2 linked regions of the Oryzias latipes genome follow. The protein of the gene in region 1 binds, or shares a complex with, the protein of each later gene. Links are inferred from orthologs where the notes say so. Each region holds a gene or a part of one and is shown on either strand. Other genes may lie near its edges. The genes, in order: XK-related protein 8 and bsg.

Region 1 (9,852 bases):
ACTTGAAAAAAATTTAGTGAAAAAATATATTACCATGACCTTTTAGAAAACAGGGTCTGAATTGTTGATTTGCAAATATTTCAAGATAACGACAAAAAATGTTTAAATACAATGCATCATGTTGGGTACAAACAAAATGAGGGCAAATAATTCGGTTTGTTAGAATTGTGGCAGGTTGTGTAAAATGTGGATATTTGATGTAAACAGGCTTTGCGCTTAAATCTCCAATCTTAAAAAATAGAAACATTTTGAATTGCATTGATTGCATAGACATGCATTGACATAGACAGTCAATGGTACATGCATCGTGCAGATTTTAAGGGCGCTTTTGACTGTAACGGGGCCGGTGAGACGGACGCTGGTTGGAGGATTATTGAAACAGATGCACGAACTAAAGAAGCAGAACCGATCGGATAAATCTGTCTTTAACAAAGAATTTAGCCGGTTTCTGCTCTTTTTTTAAACCCCAAACGTCGCGGATGGTCTTTTTCCGCCTCTGCCACGTCTTATGCTAGCCTGAAGGAGCTAACTAATGATGCTCAAAACTTTAATATATTGAACCGAAAACCGGACTTTAATTGCGCAAAAGAGCAGGGAATTGTTTAAATAATACTGCAATAAGCATTAAATCACTTTGGTGTCGTGTTTAGTTCAATAAAAGCTGATAATTCTGACGATGTCGGCAGGTCCGGCCTGCTAGCAAGCACCCGCGAGGCCGTGCGCGCGCGGCTTTCCGCGAGGCCTGTAGCTTCCACAAAACGTTACCCGTTTTTCAGGTCGACCTCCAGGATTTTTCCATAACCTTTGAAGAACCTCTCCACGTCCTTTTCCCTGGCTCTGTAGCTCAGTCTTCCGATATACACCCGCGACATCCTCTGCGGCTCCGAAGAATCAAAACGCGCCCGAACAAACTAGCTAAACACGCGGAGAAGCAAGGCTGCACAAAGCTCTTTTCATACAATAGGGCGCCGTCAGAGGGGGAGGGGCCTGTTGGGTTTTGGGTGCCCTGAGTTTAGCCTTCAGGTAAAGGAGTTCTCCTCACATGCCGCCTTTCACCAAGTCTAGTGTTTTTTCCCGGAACATTTTCACCGAGTTTCTGGTTATAAAACTTAAAATAAAGAAAGAAACTTTTGCTAATTTCTGAAGAGGTTGTTAATAAATCATAAAAATACTGAAAGAAGATTTTGTGGTCTCGTGCAATCTTTAAAAACTTGGGGATAATTCAGAAATCAGTGAAAGCTGAACACACGTCGAAACCTTTTATGACAAAAACTTTGAAGAATAGCTTTTACTTTTATTCATGCTTGATATTAATATTGACACAATATATTTTACATAAAAAATACTCAAGAACTGTACCTGAGTTGCTTCTCAGGACGAAACGTATACAAGGCAGCAGTGGATGCAGTTTATTTTCCCATACAAAATCACAAAGATTATTTTTTTTTTGAAATTATTAAAGAAAAATTTCTTAACATGTGTTGGTAATGATTGATTGGCAACCTATCTTCCTAAATCTGGGGTACATTAATTATTGAAGACAGTAAATATTGATGGTTTGAGCAGGTATTGTGTCCATTTGTGAGAAATTATGTTAGTGAGACCATAACAGCAGCATGGTTTATAAGGAATGTGAGTTTAGATTTAATAGTTTTCAACATTCACCGAAGACAGTTGACATACATATATAAAAATAGCATAGTAATGCAGGATAAAAGATGCTAAACTACTATAAAACCACATTTTTACATTCAAAAATAAATAAAAAAAGGCCTTGCAGAGAGGGCAAATTTAAATTACAAAACATTCAAACATATATGCAAAGACAGGCAACATGTCTGTGTCTAACATTGTTAAAAACCTATCAAAACTGACAGGAAGTTCAAAACGAAAAAAAGGATAAAGAAACCAATATGGATTCTATAAAGTAACAAAAAATAATATCTAAAATTCAAAATGTGCTGATTAAAAAAAGAGTAGTTTTAACAAATAATCTTAAAGTCATTGGAGAAGAGCACCAAATAATTCTGTCCATGGATAGACTGGACATTTGATTTTTTCATTCATTTGATTCTGCATAGCGCTAATGAGCTGGGCTTACACATACAATCTGGCAATTAAAATAGCACGTCTCAAAATATGCACATTGATTAATAAATAATAATTTTAATACCTTCTCCATCAACAATTGTCAATATTCCTAACTGAATCTTTAAACATCAAAAAGGCTTTCAGAAACCAGAATGTACATTGGATTAATCTAAGGCAGAGCTGGTCAACCCTGGTCCTTGAGAGCCACAATCCTGCTTGCTTGCCAGCTCTTGTTGACCATCTTTCTGCTGATTGGCTGACTCAAGTGATTCCACATCCCGACTAAATGCACCTGATTTCCAGTTCTCCCTGGACGAACTGGAAATCAGGCAGGGTTGAAGCTCTTGAGGATCAGGTTCGGCCAGCCCTGATTTAGGGTTAACATTCAATTAGGAGTCAAGAGGCGTGTTACTCTTTGAAATCTGCCCCCGCTGGTGTTCTGAGGAACTGCACATTCAGGAAGTACCTGCTAATCAGCTACTTTCTGATGTTGTCCACCATATTCCCTCAGGGGTTGTCACAGCAAATCATCTTTCACTGATTCCCACATTAAATACCCGGCACATGACCTTCCTGACACAACCCTGCATTTTATCCGGGCTGGCAACCGGTACAAGGAGACCCAGACTTAGGCCCACATGTGGCTACATGCAGCAGATTTACAAGAATCCTTTGTGTCCTTGATAAATACTTTGTAAACTTTTTGCATTACCTTATTTGCTGCACATTTTGACTGACTCCAAAGTTATCTTTATTTATATTGCTAAATTTTATATTTGTCAATGTTTGATTTTTCTTTTCAAAAACACAAAAAGCTAAATAATATTAGTAATAAGAATAATCTATCTATCTATCTATCTATCTATCTATCTATCTATCTATCTATCTATCTATCTATCTATCTATCTATCTATCTATCTATCTATCTATCTATCTATCTATCTATCTATCTATCTATCTATCTATCTATCTATCTATCGATAGATCAATAAGTTGTATTCATGAGTAAAATGGTTTTATTTGCAAAGTTAAACTTAAACCTTAACTGAGCTACTTGCCAGAAGACTCTTTAGTGTTCTGCCTTTAAATGTTTATTGAACCCTCTCACCCCACCCCGCACCCCCGTCCTAATTTCCTGGAGACGACCCTGCTACCAGTCATGAAAATAAATAATATTTCAAAAATTCATATAAAACAAGTATCTGAATAATACCTAATAATAAAAGGTCCAAGTTTGAAATGAACTTCCCTAGGTCCCGGGACTGAACATATGTGGTGGGCGGGGCTTGAACACTTACGAACCTCCGCCGGTTGTTTTCGTAACCTTTCGGACTCTCCGCCCGCTCAGCTCGTGTCCGGACTTCAGTCTGCCGCAGAGAACCGCTCCAATGTCTCCAAAGTTTGCCGAACTTTCCCGATCGCCCGGGCACGCGGGCTCGGCGGCGCCTCGGGGCGGGGAGTAACGGTCTGGGATGGTTTCCGAGTGTTAGCTTCGTCACAGCAACAGGTCCGCCATGCAGCGCGGCTGCTTCCCCAGGTACTCCTGGATCGACTTCGCCTTCTCCGTGATCGGGGTCTGCACCTTCCTGATGGACTGGGGCTCCGACCTGTGGGTGGCCGCCGAGTTTTACTGCCGTGGGGACCTTTCCTGGTTCGGGGTGCTGGTGGGCCTCATGATCCTGTCCTCGGTCGTGGTGCAAATGTTCAGCTGGTTCTGGTTCGTGTATGACCGGAAGTTGTCGGGCTTCGGGAGCAAAGTGGGGACCAACTCCGTGCTGTGCGGGGACCGAGTGAAGATCTTCTGCCTGCTGCACGTGCTGCAACTCGGCTTCTTCTGCAGGTCAGACCCGCAGCGATACACACAGATCCAGATCTAGATCTGGTTCCAGCTGTGGGTGTTTACACTGAACCAAACTGACTCAAAGTAAAAGTGATGAGGATTATCCTTCAACTAAGAAATGAATGTTAACCTTTAGTCATTGGAGCGTTTTTATTTATATGAAACAGAATCAGGGTTCTGGAGTCAACATGGATCATAAAGGCTGACAACTTCTTCACATGATGATTGTTTCCCAACACATGATGTAAATGCACATCCTTTGTTTTAGGTGTAAAGAGGAAGTCTGAGCAATTATGATTGACTAACTGAAGCATCAACCGGTTCCCATCAATTCTGCTTTCCCGCCTCAGGCACATCTCAGCCATCCGGCAGGGTTTCAGGGTGTGGTGGAGGAAGGAGGAGGGCTCGGAGTATGCCATCTACCTCACGCACGACCTGAGCATGCTCCGCTTGTTCGAGACGTTCTGCGAGAGTGCGCCTCAGCTCATCCTGATGATGTATGTCATGCTGCGCACCAACAGGGCCCGGGTCGTTCAGTGTGAGTCCAGTTGTCACTGTTGTCTTTCTAACCAGCTGGTTAAATCGTACGAACACGATGGATGCGCAGCAACAACTAAGTTCACCTAAACAAAATGCAGATCCCCACTTGCATGTAAAACCAAGATGTCGTCCTAGTGAATTTGAAGCATGTTTGATAATAAAATCGCCTGGAACCAACTCAGTTCTGAAGGTAACCACTGGAAAGCTCGTTACACTGTCAACTCAGTCTCCAGTCCAAAAAGCAATTCAGAATGACCCAACTTTACCTCAGAAATGAATGTATCTTGTCTTGCGTTGTGTTGCGTTTGTGTGCTGCATTTCCTGTTGTGTTTGTGTGTTTTGCACTCATGCGCTTCTTGTGGAATTAACTTGTGCCGTTCGTGTCTGCAGTTGTGAGCGTGGCTGCTTCCACCACCTCCATCGCCTGGATGGTTCTGGACTACCACCGCTCGCTGCGCTCCTTCCTCCCGGACAAAGCCCAGCAGGGGTGGGGCTCCTCAGTGGTCTACTTCCTGTGGAACCTGCTGCTGATTGGTCCCCGCGTGGCGGCCCTCGCCCTCTTCTCGTCCGTGCTACCTTTGCTCATTGTCCCCCACTTCCTGCTGCTGTGGTTGGCCTTCCTGCTGTGGGCGTGGCAACAGCAGACAAACTTTATGGACAGCGCTGTGGGGGAGTGGCTATACCGGGCCACCGTCGGACTCATCTGGTACTTCAGCTGGTTCAATGTGGCGGAGGGCCACACCCGGGTCAGAAGCCTGATCTACCATTCCTTCATGACGGCGGACTGTTGCCTCCTTCTGGTCACCTGGTGGTACCTGAGAGACGCGGCGCAGACAGAAGCGTACGGCCTGGCCCTGATCATTGCGCTGCCGCTTTCTTACCTGCTCGGGCTGCTCTTCAAAGCCATCTACTACTGTTGCTTCCACCCCAAACTGTGGCGGCCCCCACCGACTGAGGGGAGGCTGCCCAACGACCTGCCAGACTCTGAAGTGACCCTCAGATCCTTCTCCATCCAGGATGACAGTGTGTCCGCCCCAATCTTCAACAAGCGCATGGAACACCACGCTGCCCGCTTCTACTAAAAGGGAGGGGCCACACACCCAGTCAAGGCGTTGCCATGGCACCTACAGGCAAAGCGGTCGTCCAGACTTTTTCCTGTCAGTGACGCCTGCAGACACACAGGCGTTTCTATGAAAGTGAACAATAACTCAGGAGTTTGTTTATCCAATTATTTTTTTAATGAAACTCTTGAAAATGCAGGTAACCTGTAAGCAGAAGGATGTGTTCATGAATGTTTGTAAAAATGAAGATTTATATTTGTACCTGAAAATGCAACCAAAAAAAGGTTGAGAGGAAAATATTGGCTTCACTTTATTGTAACCTTAAGGCAATGTCCTTTTACGAAAAGAGTGCAAAAATGTCGACTTATTTTGTTCAACAATGATGATGAAAACATGGCAACCAAACATACCTTCTCTTTCCTTCCCTTCAGGCGAATGCATTTTTATGTCTATGCTTTCTTGAACATTCAGTCATGAGTTAACTGAAATGATTGAATTGACTTGGCGGCTTAGCCTGACTAGTTGTTGATATGAACATTGCAACACAACCTGAGAGAGCGTTGGTGAAGGTTTGCCATGGAGAAATGTTTTAAAGAACATGATTTCTACTCCAGTTGCCATGACTCAACTTCGCAGAGCCTAAAATACCACAGAAGAAATGCTTGTCATGTCTCCAAACCCCCGAAAAGCAATCAAATCCACTTGTTTATTTTTTATTTGACCATTTATCTTGTCTTGAGGTAAAAAACGCAGATACAAAAAAGGGAACTGGTTATTTTGAAAGAATTGGGTTAACCGTTTTCCTGTTGATTCTATAAAGAAGATCCATCTGATCCTGAAGTACAAGCCTCAGAACCCTTGTTGTATCCTATGGGGTCCAGATGACCCGATCCTTACATTGACGTGTTATCCCTACCATAACAAAGGTGGATCAAGGTGGAGAGGATTTCATGTAATCCATGGACACCAGTTAAGATCACAAATCATTGACGAAAAAGGATTCAACGCACTGTCTAGTGGGTCTAAATGACCCAGCTCCCAATGTTAAAGTGCCTAGGGTAGCACAAGGGTTAAGCTACGTACAAATGTTGATATTAGTCACCAAGTTTAGAAATGATCCTGTCCCGTCCCACTGCCATCCCATTCTCCTATAAAATGACTACCGTTTCTGTACTGCTCCCATATATTATCTTAATTTGGCCATCATTTAATGCATTACATGTTATTTCATCTCCTCCCATCCTGTTTTAGAGCAGCTCCGGAGCCCCTGTTTCTACATTTTACATAGTTTACATCTGTGTTTTTCAACCAGTGTGCCGTGGGAGATGGTCAGGTGTGCCATGGGAAATTGCCCTCATTAACTGATCTAAAAACATTTCCCATCTCCAGGATATCAGCTCTGTTTTCATCCAAACAGGCCCTGATAAAACACAGAGTAGTTAGGAATATGAAAGATCGTAAAAGACCTTTTTCTTTCTGTTTATTTGATTCTATTAAAGACACTTTGATAAGAATGACGGTACAGCGATTTAGCTGTAGCTTCAGATGTTTTCGGAAAAGTCCCGCCCCTTTAAATGCTTCCACCAATCATTCTTGGGCCCCTAATCATACGTTATCATTCTGACCAATCAGAAGTGGTTAAAGTCTTCACTTCCTTGTTCTGATTCTGCTCATAAAGTCGCTCAGTTCCAACGAAAATAACAGCTAAAGCTCGTCTTTAGCGGTGTAGCTTTCCGCGGGATCCGGTGTCTATGGAGTTAATTCAGTCTCAATAATCAGAAATGCACACAACCTGTTTCACAAATACACACACTCTTGTGTGCCGTGCACCTTCAGCTCTGACATCAGTGTGGTAGAAGCTGGAGAAAGTCTGAGAGGCCATTCGATTGACTGAAAGCGAGCACGCCTGCTTTCCTTTAAACGGAAATTTCCTTTAAACGTACAAACGGTTTAAACGGAAAACTTTATTGTGTTATTGTCAAACACAGCCTGCACATTTGTGAGAAACACTTATTGTGCATGTGTGAAACACAACAGGTGTGTTTGTGAAACACAGGGTGTGCATTTCCAAATTAATATTGCACGTTTGCGTAAAATTATATTTGTGAATCAGAGCGTGTGTATTTGTGAAACAGGTTGTGTGCATTTCTGATTATTAAGACTGAATTAACTCCATATTATTAAATTTATTATTAAATTTTTCAGCAATTCACAATAAATTTTTCAGAAATGCACAATAACTGCTTCAGCAACATCATTTTTCGTTACACTTGTAATATGAACTCACAGATCGTGCAAATTTTAGAATGTGCATTCCCAAACCCCGTCTCATTTGTGAATCTCCCCGCATTTTTGAGAGATTTTTCTATGGTGAGTATTGAGACTCCCTTCACGCTGCAGGTCAACTAATGTCACCATTGGCTAATGAATGTGTCAATCAAGCTCATCAGGAAAGCAGGCGTGCTCGCTTTCAGCCAATCGAATGGCCTCTTAGACTTTCTCCAGCTTCTACTACACTGATGTCAGAGCTGAAGGTGCACGGCACACAAGAGTGTGTGTATTTGTGCCACAGGTTGTGTGCATTTCTGATTATTGAGACTGAAGGAAACTTGACACCCAACAGCCATTTCCGTTTGATGAACGAACAGATGCTTGACACTCTTTCCTGAATTCGGTTTGTGAGTGTTTCCCTTCAGACAGCTCCTCCCAGAATCACTGATCTTGATCTACTTCTCTATGATAAGACACGTTTTACAACGTGCATATGATGCGGTATCACAGCTGACTCAACTCTCATGAACTTCTTTTATACATCCAACTTTCCTACAAGCTCTTTGAACTTAACAGACATGTATTCTTTAGTTCTTACTTTTCGCTGGATATCAATTTTCCCTGCATCAAATTTGCCATGAATGGCAGTTTCCGCCATTGCTGCACTTGAAATGCAAACGAGAGATAAATAGATATACATATAAATAGAAGCATGGGGGTTCCTGGATAACGTGGTTCTCATTTTTATAGTGTCTTTCAATGTTTCCATAATACCACAAAACTACAAAATAGCTCCATCTTTACTTTTTTGTCTCTTTCCTATGGGTTGGTAACTGCGTCCTAAGTATTGTACCCCAACCGTCCCAATCCTGTGATTAATGGAACAGATAGCTCCCACCCAATGGAATATTGGGGGAATTCCCTTTGAAACCCCAATGACTATGGTGTAAGCGGGTTAATGGCCTTTGAAGTGTGCATTATCAGAAATTAACGCACTTAGCGGAAGCAACCATCCTCCGCTTCTTGTCGGATGTTTCAGGCTTCCACGGCGTGTGTTAATTTCTGATAATACACACTTCGTAGGCCATTAAACGTTACATGACTTCAAAGAAAGACGAAATATAATGACAAACTTTCTGACTAATAGAATGACTGAGTGATGGCCGTTTATTTACTATGGAAGTCTACGGGATTTTGGCTTTCTGGATCCAGCAGGTACTGCCTGTTTGGAGTGAAAGGGGAGAGGGTCCACTAAGTTCAGTTGTTTTATACACTCAATGCACAATGATCAACAATGTATGCTCAATGTAATTATATTGTATTTAGAGAATACTAGTAATATGTATGTGTTTCTGATAAAACAATTGTAGAAATTGCATTAAAAATAACAGAATTAAAAAAAGATGTCGGAATATTGGGTGCCAAAGGAACCCGGTATTGTTTGGTCTTCCAGGTGCAAGAACGGAATAACTTAAAGTGTGGATGCCATGCTTTGAACAACTTTGTCAAATAAAAAAGCCCTTTAAACGCTGATTCTATTGATACCAATAGTTCGCGTCGAAAAAAATCCGAAGCATATGAATAATAGACATCTTTCGAAGGAATCAGAGATTTGGATCTGCCGCTAGAGCGCAGGCTGGAAGTGAACCCGATATGACCTGTGACGTCATGAAAGGCGTTGACTTTCGCAGTTCCGCTTCGGACAGCATGTAAACAAAACAGGTAGTCTTCGTTTCTCTCGTGTTGAAATCTGTTAATCATCAACATGCCAAGTCGTTGTGTGGCAGCTGGATGTAGCAATACATTTAGTGAAAGTGTATCTGTGTATAAACTCCCAAAACAAGAAACGCTGCTGAAAAGGGGAAAGTTCAAGAAGGTGGACGGCGAAGGATTTTCCCCTCCAGATCTGCAGGAGAGAAGTCTGCGTTTTCGAAGGGACAAAAACCGGGACACAAACGAAGAATTTTGAACGGAGAGTTGGGAGGAGGATCTTGGCTTCTGAGTCGAGGAAAGGCGGGTGAGCTGGAAGCGAGCGAGCCGTTTTCTGGG
Region 2 (9,810 bases), on another chromosome or scaffold:
TTGTGGACTTTCAATGGATAAGAAGGTTTTCAGGTCATGGTCCTTCAAAGGGAGAACTGCACGAGTAAACAAGCTCCGTCTGAAATCCGTCACTGCCGTTCGGGTTTGTTCTACATCAAGAGGAGAATTACATTTTACTTCCATTCATTGTTCAGCCGTGAGGGTGTTTCTGCTCTGCATTGTGCCTCTCTGGTACCCCGGGGTTTTAGCATCAAAGGCCTGAGTCTCAGGATTGTTCTTAGGAGTGGGGGGGCAGGTTTGATTTAGAGACTTGGGGAGGTAACTTGACAATGTAAATCTCCAACCAAACTTTATTTATAAAGCACTTTAACAATTAGTGATGAATTGCACCTTATTGTGAGACTTTGTCACCATTTTTAAGCTACGAATAAGACCGCAGTTAGTGACCAAAACATGGACTTTTGTTTATTCAGAAGAGAATAAGGATTGTAAGGGCTGCTGTGATGAAAGATGTTCAAAGGTTAGGATTCCCATCATTCCTTGCATGTTCATCCATTTGCTCTCATGACAGCCATTTTATTAGGGAATGAATGTGCCATCAGTCAGTCATCTACAGTATGCGGTCAGCAGGACCTATAGATTCAGGTCATCTCTCTCTCTCTAGTTACCTGCAGGTGATTTCCCTCAATTAAATGTTTTTCTTTTTGACAGATGAATAGAGGTCAAACATTTTTATCATCAAAATAACTGCAGATTAAAATGTGGAAAGCTGAAATAAGGAGATTTCTTTAAGGAGATTTATTTTCTTAAGCTCACAGGGCAATGTATAAAAACACATGGTATTCTTATTGGGTTTTTTCTTCTTAAATAAATGACATCAAAAATGCAAATGGGTACGTGTGAAAACTCCAGGCAGTTTATATTGTTTTATTCAATTCCAAAGAGTTTAAAGTCCCACTTTGATCATCTTTTGATGAATTTTGAAATTGTTCCTAGTAGATTTTTAATTATGTTGATGCTGTTTATACCCAAAATCTAAAAACCTGTGTTGTTTTCAAGAACATAGTTTCTGCAAAGTGACAGAAGTTCATCAAATATTCATCAGAGTTGTGGGAGGGACGGTTTGCCCAGAGCAAGTCCACTTACCATTCACCTGTTGCTGAGAGCTCTCTGTTTACATGCTCTCCTGCTAGCTCACAGCCCCAAGCTAACATTAGTGCAATACATACAGCGAGCAATATCAGGGGGTATTTCAGAAAGCAGGTTAATGCTAGCTCCCGCAGTAAGTTTGAGGCTAAAGAAGTACAACCACTGCTTTCGGTTCCAAAAACAGAGGTATGTTTCAGGATATGTCAAGTTGCCATAGCAACTCAAGCTCTTAACATAACCTGGTCTGGAGCAGGTTTAGTTGAAGGTTAGTTTGTTGTCAGAGAGGTGAAGCAGCATGGCGTGTCCATTTGAAGATGATTTAGTGGATGAAGAAGCTCAGATAATACTTTTTCCACCGTGAGAGGGTGATTACACCACATATGGATGTTGGAAAAATAAACTTTTTTACTTTGCTCTGACTTAATTATTTGCTTTAGTTAAGATAAATCAATTCTAGTTAAGTCATCTTAAAAATAACACATAGTTATCAGACATTTATTTTGCTTTCATTCAAATCAATTCAATTAAGTAGATCTAACTTTGGTGCTGCTGTTAGATCGACACCGCAAGGGATTGTGGGATACCATTCCCTTTGCCTGTCTGGACGGATTTGGGTTTGAGTGTTGATTTTTGACCAAATGTGTTTAGTTGTTTAGCTGTTTTGCACAGTTATTTGTACTGTTATATTGAATCCTTTCTGCACCATGAGTGAGAGGGAGGGAGAGGATGATGAGTTTATATAGCACCCCTACTTTGTCGCGGTGTAACGAATAATTCAGAGGCATGAATATTCCTTGTGATTTATATGTATTTTTTTCATTCATTTTATTGTTATAAAAATGAGTATATCTGCAGGCTCAAATTTAGACATTTGAGAGTTCAAGAATTACAATAAATGAAGATTATTATTTGAATTGGAGTAATATTACATTTAGTTAGATAAAAATGTAAATTTGAGTTGTAAAAAAATATTGAGTTGGATAGACGTAAGAAATTAGGTTGAATAAATTTAACTCAATTACTTGTAACCAATTGAATTAATTTAAGTTGGATAAGTTATATATGCGTCACAATGAAAATTAGATCAGAAACTCTTGTGTTTACTTTGTCCATTCTTTTTCTCCAAGCAGAAACTCTTTCTTTTGCTGATGCAGCCGTATTAATTTATTGATGGACGTATAATAATCTTCATACGCCGTCAGTAAAATCTCAGACTCCGTCTCACTGAAGTACAGCGCTCTCTTTTTTTTCTCCACGCCTTTCCATGGTGACTCCGGAAATCGGCGATCCATTGAGAATGACTTTATGTACTTGACGTGCACGTGCGTTAACCCAGGGTTACCAAGTCAAGCGTAATTACGCCAACTCATATCCGGTCTTTTGGAACCGACATACCCAGAGTAAGCAAGTTCAGGCGGATTTCAGCCAGAGTTCAGGATTAAAGTCAGGATAGTTTAAACATGCTTTCTGGAATTCCCCCCAGGGGTATCAAACCCCTGGTATGGAGGGCTGGTCTGCTGCTAGTATTCCAGAAATCCTGCCTTATCTGCTACTGATTAACCTGTATCAGGTGTGTTTAGCCAATTTGAAGCTTCACTGACAAGTTGGATGGAAACCATGTTGGACACCGTCCCTCGAGGGCTGAATTCTGACACCCCTGCCTTAGAGGAAACAATTAACCAGTGTGGACTGTGAGAGAAAATTGGAGAAAACCCACGCATGCGCGGGGAGAGCATGCTAACTCCACACAGAAAGGTCACAACCGGGATTCAAACGGGGCCTTCTAGATATGAGGCGAGAGCCACTACACTACCATGTAGTCCAGCTTGTGGCGTGCCCAGCGTATTTTCTACGTCAACACAATTTTTTTTCAACTGCTTTTTTCTCGCCTGCTGTTGATTCACAACGATTTGAAACAAGAACAAAACAAAATACTCAGCACTGCAATTCTAATCTTAATTTTCTTTCTATGCGTCCTTCGTCATCAGAAAAATACTATAAGAGCATGTTAAAACACAATTTTCATCGGAGTGGGTCTTTCAAAGGTTTTAAACTTGATTTGTTCTGAAGCCTTCAATCTGAACGCCGCGGTTTAACCTCGCCTGACAGTTTCCAGGGTCTACGGTTCGCTTGTTTTATTTTTTTTAATAAACTTTATTATTCAACACAAATAGAACAAATATGTATGGTTCGCTTACACAAACAAAAAAAAGGCAAAAACACGAAACTTATAGGATTTCAAAGCCACACCCACTATGATGACGTCACGCATACGTGCTGGTAAGGGCGTGTCCGTTAAGTCATAGGAGAGGACGAAGTCTGCGGAGTGGTCTGCCGGCTCTGCCCGTTGGACGTTAGACTCACTGTGGAAGGAGGCTGAGCTGACCGACCGTCTCGATTCTTTGGTCGGACTAGAGTTTCCGCAGTAGACCATGAAGTTCTTGTGGGCCGTCACCGCCCTCCTTCTGGGCTGTTGTCGCGCTAACGCCGCCACAGGTAAAAAAGTCATGTCGGCCATGTTGACTTTGCCCTACCGCTAACATTTCATGTTTTTTTCTGACTTTAGCAGTTTAAATTTCCGATGTTATACCAGCTAGACATCTGTATTAAACCTGTAGAATCCCCACCGTGGGGCTGTACGGTTTGGACACATTGTTCCCTAGAGACCGGTTCTATAAAATCGACGTTTCGGCTAGCAAGACATTAGCTAGTTGTTGTTGGCGACCCAGAAAAATTTTCTGTCTGTTTGTTGATTAAAATGAATTTTAGATGTATTTTGTTGTCAGAATGCCTTACGTAATGGCCTATGTGGTACATGGAATATTTAACACCAACATGTTTGGTATCACGTGAGCGTCCGGTGTATTCGTAATTGCGTAATGTTTGAAGTGATTATCGTTATTAAATGGCGACCATTCGCTGTGGATTCGATGAAAGCGGCATATTAAGGACGACGGTCACGCGGTATTTGTCTCGCGCGCTCCTCCACCGGCGTCCGGGGAGGTGTTCTCGGACTCCCGACTCATGTCCGAACGAAAACCGATCCAAACAAACAAAACGTTCGTGTTTTTCCCAGAGGATCAATCTGTGTCCGTTTGGTACTCTGGTTAACATTTTCATTATTTAAACTAGGAAAAGAACCGTAATTCTTCATCGGGCACCCTATCTTTTAATAGTTTGCAGTGTTAGGCACAAAACTAGCATCTGAAGCATTCTCCTTTAAAGTTAAACCTGGATAAACGAAGTCTGCTGCTCTCTGGTAGGAGATTTTTTTTTTTTTTACACGGCATATCTAAATAAAGCTTTGTTATAAATGGCATTGTCAAGATTGAGGAGTGAATGTTGTGTGGGCTATATTTAATTTGAACTTTTAAAAAAAGCCTTTGCTGTGAAGGTGACCTTTCAACAGCAGGAAGCCATTACAAGTGTAGTTTGTTGAATGGGGGGTGTTAAGACAATAACCAGCATTACCACACCCTCTCAACAGCTCCAGTTTGTCTGTTTTGCCCCAAAGATGAGATTCGTCAGCAGATGACTTGGTTTTCTTATTAATCCCCACACAGGAATGTGGTCACGCTCTGCAGACTGAGCTCCTCCCCTCATTTTCTGTTGTTCTCAAACCTTTCACTCAGATCTCAGATGATGTTTTCTGCAGCCTCATCTTCAAAATATTTAATTATAAACCAGAATGTGTCGTCTGCAGTCTCCACGCTCAGATATGCTCCAAACAGAGCCCCCATTCAGTTGATGAACAATCCTGTTAACCTACTTTAAGTTCCTCGGTCCAGCTCAGTAAATGTGCTTCCTACATTTTTCTCTGTTTACCTTTTTGTTTAGTCATTGAGTGAATGCTCTGTTGCTACCATTCTTGTCATATATATTTTAGGGATGATCATCAAGCTCTTTGTGCTCATTACCATAATTATCTGTTTTTTATTTATTTATCCTATATTGATGTCTGCTTTGATCATTCCAAATTTAGTCAGATGAATCAGTCAATGTGATAAAATTTCCTTATTCATCTGTCTGCTGTCATATTTTCATTTTAACATTTTTTCTTTCTCTTTCTGTATTCTTTTTCTTCCCTAACATTTCATTTTTATCATCCGCCCATTTGAACTCATCACTTTCTAAATTCATCTGCTTGCTGGGTCTGCTGCTAATCAGCGGGTTTTATCCGATCCCCCCTGTCTCAAATGAAACTGATCGATGCCAGTGCAGAGCTGCATTGTGAGGTGATAGGGTACCCCATACCAGAAGTTCAGTGGTGGTTTGTTGAAGGGGAAGAGTCCAACGAGACTTTCACCCAGCTGTTTGATGGGGCTCATAACAACCGTGTAAAAATCAACGCCACATATATCGAACACGCCGCAAGCACCATTCACCTCACCAGACTTTCCCTTGAGGACACGGGCACGTACGAGTGTCGTGCCTCCAACGACCCCGACCGCAATGATCTGAAGAAGACTCCAAAAATCAAGTGGATCCGCTCGCAGGCAAACATTATTGTGATTGAAAGTGAGTGACAGAAGAACCCCGAGGAGAGTCGGGTCAGAGTGGTCATATCTGCATTAGTGAAGTTGTGGACCTCTTAGATCCTGTCCACACAACTGTCCTGTTGTCTGGTCCAGTTCCCTCCCTTCCCTTCATCTAGTGTGTTCTCCCCTCTCCAAAAGCACAACAGCTCTCCTGTAGAAGGTGAAAGTGGCCAAAAAACCTGTTCTGGCTGATCCTTTATCACCCGACGCGAACGTTTTCTTCCTTCAACCTGATGCCTTAAGTAACCCTTCCTACAAATTTTTATATCTTTTTCCATAAATAAAATCTATGAAACACTGGACTGAGGTGGAAATTTGGCAGTTTCAGTGATGAAAGTCTTCCGGGAATTCCCGGAAATCCGGGTTTTTGAGCAAACCGAACGTACTTTCCGGGAAATAAAGACCTGATCTCTACGGACAAATCGCTTTCCGGATTAAAAAATGGTCTGAAATCAGCTAATTTTAGCTTTATTTTCTATATTTCTCCGCAGATCGCTTCCTCTATGGTCGTGGCCATCTCTCGTCTTCCCGGCCTAATTGACCAATGACGGGACGTTTTAGTTGCTTTCGGATGCGTCGACGGGTCTGATTGGCTCTGTCTGCACCACGTGGTCAGCGTGACTTGCTTCCCTAGAGACCAAAACTGGCGGACCCACGCTAAACTTTCACAAACACATCTGAAGAGTTTGCGATCAAATTTGTGTTAAAATAATGGCAGGCATCGTCATTATTGAGCGTGCTCACGACCTCAGTTGTGAGAAGACGATAAAAAACAAATTGAAGTGGTCTTGGCTGGAAAAAAAAAAAAGATTTTTAAGGTAGTGTAGGTCAAATACTTTTTTGTGTAAAATAATCTCAAAACCACATTTTGAAATAATTTCAATTTTAGTTTTGAGTTTCAGTTTTTATTTTGAATACATTTCTTTATCTAATTTATTTGTATTTCCTAATTACCACGATTTAGTTCAGTATAGTTGACATTCTTCTTCTTCTTCCACTTTCGGCTTCTCCCATCAGGGGTCGCCACAGCGAACAAGTCGCATGGTAAATTTGGCAATGTTTTACGCCGGATGCCCTTCCTGACGCAACCTTCTCAAACTGGGCTTGGAACCGGCAAAGGTAGAGAAGGGAACAGGGAGCAGCCCGGAGTCGAACCCGGGTTTCACGGACGGAAGGCGCCACAAACCATAGTTGACATTAATTATAAGTATTTGATGGTTTGGACCCGCACTCCCTTAAAAAATAATGTTTACAATGTTTAGCTTAGTTTGTATGTTTGTTTTGATATTTCCCAGATTACTTAGTATTGGTGTTAAAGAATTGATGTATTATGTTATAGAATTATAGTTTAAAGCAGATCCCATATTTTGATGTAATTATAGTTTGAGAAAACAGTGCAAGTGGATGTTGTACATCAGTCATTTCTAAAGCAGAAATAATGTATAAATAACTGAGGTATTTTCATAGAATATCATAGTTACTGGTGTTCTTTTTGCCATTTGGGGCTTTGATGTTACTATATTTTAGCAATTGTATGTTTTGCAGCTTTAAGGAAAAGCGTAGATTGTAGGATTGTGTTACTTTGAGCAATTTTCCAAATTCTTTTTTAGGACCAGCAAGTCTTTAATGGAGAGTCAAACTAGGGGTTTGAATGACAAATCATGATGCTCCAATTAGTCTTAGTTTCTTGATAAAGAAGTGAATAACTAGCTGCCAGAATGCACCAGAATGCATCTAAGACCACGTATTTTTCCAAAATTTCGCTCTGTGCCCGCCATATCGCTCAAAGAAAAGTTCAGGGATTTTTTCCTTGCCTGACTTTCATCACTGCAGTTTGTTAAAGTAAAACGCATACTTTTGATGTTTTAAAAACAAAAGTTGTTAAATGTCTAGATTTACGCTGCTGTTAGGTGGAAAAGGTTCTTTTCCTCTTACTAACACTGGAAACGTTCCTTTTTCCTCTGCTTATAGACATTTTTCTAGTTTAGATTCCCATTAGCTCAGAAGAAGACAACAGACTGTAAAATATGTGCATCCACACAGCATTTTTCTTTCTGTCTTCCCGCTTGTATTTGAAATAAAACATTTGATTTAAGGTTAAATTGCTGTGCTGTAACCTCTACTGTTTAGCAAACTTTGTTGCTTCTTCTGCATGTATTGAAGACACCTCACACACACACCCTCGTGACCCTTCTGTAGCATTGTTTCCACTTCCCTTTTTGTTTTGTCATCAACTGGAGAAAGCTCGTCACTTGGAGGAGCTTTCTCCATCTCCTCCTTTGAGTAGAATAGGATGAATAGCAACAACCGTCTGTTGTGGCCCATATTTACACATTAGTTACTGTAAATATGGAACGATTTGGAACGGCCAATGCTTGTGTTTAACAACATTCACGTGGGTGACATAAATGGTGATTATACAGCTGTGTATGGAGCTGTTTTATATGGTCTTTTTTTGTTTTGTTTTGTGAAGAGCCACGTATCTTGAAATCTCCTGATGTGGTCAACCAGACTTCTGCCAGTCTCAGCTGCAACTTGACCAGCACTAGCCTCCAAAGTTCTGGATCCTTCTGGACGCACAACGGCAAACTCATTGATGGTTCAAAGTCTGCTTCTGCTACTAATTATGCAGTTCATCGGTAAGAAAATGCAGCAGCTAAAAGCTGAATGGGAAGATGTGCAGTTTCTCTTGTCATTGAATTTCCTGTCCAACTGAAATGGTTTACAAAAACGCATTCCTTCAACGAGAATGTATACTTTCTAGACTTTCTCTCTCATCAAAGTGCTGTTGCATCATCTAGTTTTCTATCTCTGGTTTGCTGCTCCCAACTATTCTGCCTCTGGTTGCATCCATGATGTATAGATGGACCGTGAAGACATTCGGCTTCACTCCAGGGCAAAGGGCGCCAATTTTTTTCCTGACCTTAATTTCCTATTTACATAACAAAAAGGCTTACTATAAGTACACTATATTTGTGTTTTAAGCCGAAGGGAAAAAAATACTGTTTGAAAAAGATCGTATTTCTGATGTAGAAATCGTGCTAGGTGAGCCACTGCGGCAATTTTTAATGACTTCCTGTCGCTCTGCAGAAACTCTTACATTTGGACCAAAAACACCACACTCATGGTAAAAAGACAACTGAGATCACTTTGAAAATTAGGGGTGTAACAGTACAAGTTAAGCTGAACTGTTTCGGTATGGCACGTTTTTGTCCGTGCCCTATACTCTGCACGACCCCATGCAGTCTCAAAGAGCATACAAGCTGTTTTTTTTAACTTTTTTGAAATTTTGAACACATACAAACTTCGTAACAACATTAACGTCACTTCTCTTCACAGCTCCCTGTCTAAAGGCCCGTACACACCGGGATGAATATTCGCCAGGCGTTATTCGCCAGCGTTTTTCGCCACGTCTTTTGTGTTCACACCCAGGCGATTTTCGCTGACGATGAGCCGAGCGTGCATGAACATGCAATTTCCTTCCCTGACATTAGATGGCGCTTAATGTAAACAGAAATACTCCTGTACACAAGGTGGCGCTGCGCAACTTTAGGCTTCTTAAAGTCGCTTTTCACTCAGAAGAAGAGAGCAAGTATTTACGCGCTAGTCAGAATAATAAAAAGAAAACATGAATATTTCAAGCACCAGTAGCTCCAACTGGTACTTGGTAAGGGATATTTAAGAATGTCCGTCATTATTTCTTCGCGGCAGTGTAGACGCTACTTGACGTCTATCTTCTTCGCTGGTATGTGTGCTCAGCAAGGCAGTTTTGTGTTTGAGCGCCCCCAAGTTGTGTTTTACTGTAACTTCAGAAGCCCCAGACACGTGTGCAAAAGCGCCATTCTCATTGGTCGAATAGATGTCGCGTCGAAAAAACAAACAAACCCGAGGCGTTTTTTTTTTTGACGCTTTGACGCGTGGCGTTTTTTCGCGTCGGTGTGCACACTCACATTGGTGCCCTTTGTTTATTCACGAGGCGTTAAACGTCCCGGTGTGAACGGGCCTTTATGGTGAGGGATTCAACACACAAGATACCACACTTCCTATGAGTCTTAGTGGCTATAGGCGGGGCTAACCCCCAGGTCGCCACAGTATTATCCTTGCACAGAGGCGCAACTAATGTTAGCCGTGAGTTTCTGCAAAGATGCTATTAGGTGACGGA

The links.
Region 2: the proteins of XK-related protein 8 (region 1) and bsg are in contact, whole or in part, in a cryo-EM structure (PDB 7DCE), measured with the Homo sapiens proteins. The link is inferred for Oryzias latipes from reciprocal best matches to the Homo sapiens genes XKR8 and BSG. Residues at the interface, in NP_060523.2 of Homo sapiens: His232, Leu236, Val239, Leu242, Trp243, Leu246, Gln247, Arg280, Gly283, Arg284, Ile287, Phe291, Ser294, Asp295, Leu298, Ala301, Thr302; in NP_001719.2 of Homo sapiens: Trp326, Pro327, Gly330, Ile331, Glu334, Val335, Leu338, Val339, Ile341, Ile342, Phe343, Tyr345, Glu346, Lys350.

The regions. Positions count from the first base shown.
Region 1 is NC_019869.2:19,744,499-19,754,350, reverse strand, and holds XK-related protein 8, read left to right. Parts: upstream 1-3,320; 5' UTR 3,321-3,605; coding exon 3,606-3,931; intron 3,932-4,281; coding exon 4,282-4,469; intron 4,470-4,861; coding exon 4,862-5,553; 3' UTR 5,554-6,248; downstream 6,249-9,852. Other genes in the region: serine/arginine-rich splicing factor 6, read right to left, coding at 766-872.
Region 2 is NC_019862.2:7,110,851-7,120,660, forward strand, and holds the start of bsg (basigin), read left to right. Parts: upstream 1-3,395; 5' UTR 3,396-3,542; coding exon 3,543-3,606; intron 3,607-5,277; coding exon 5,278-5,628; intron 5,629-8,121; coding exon 8,122-8,287; intron 8,288-9,810.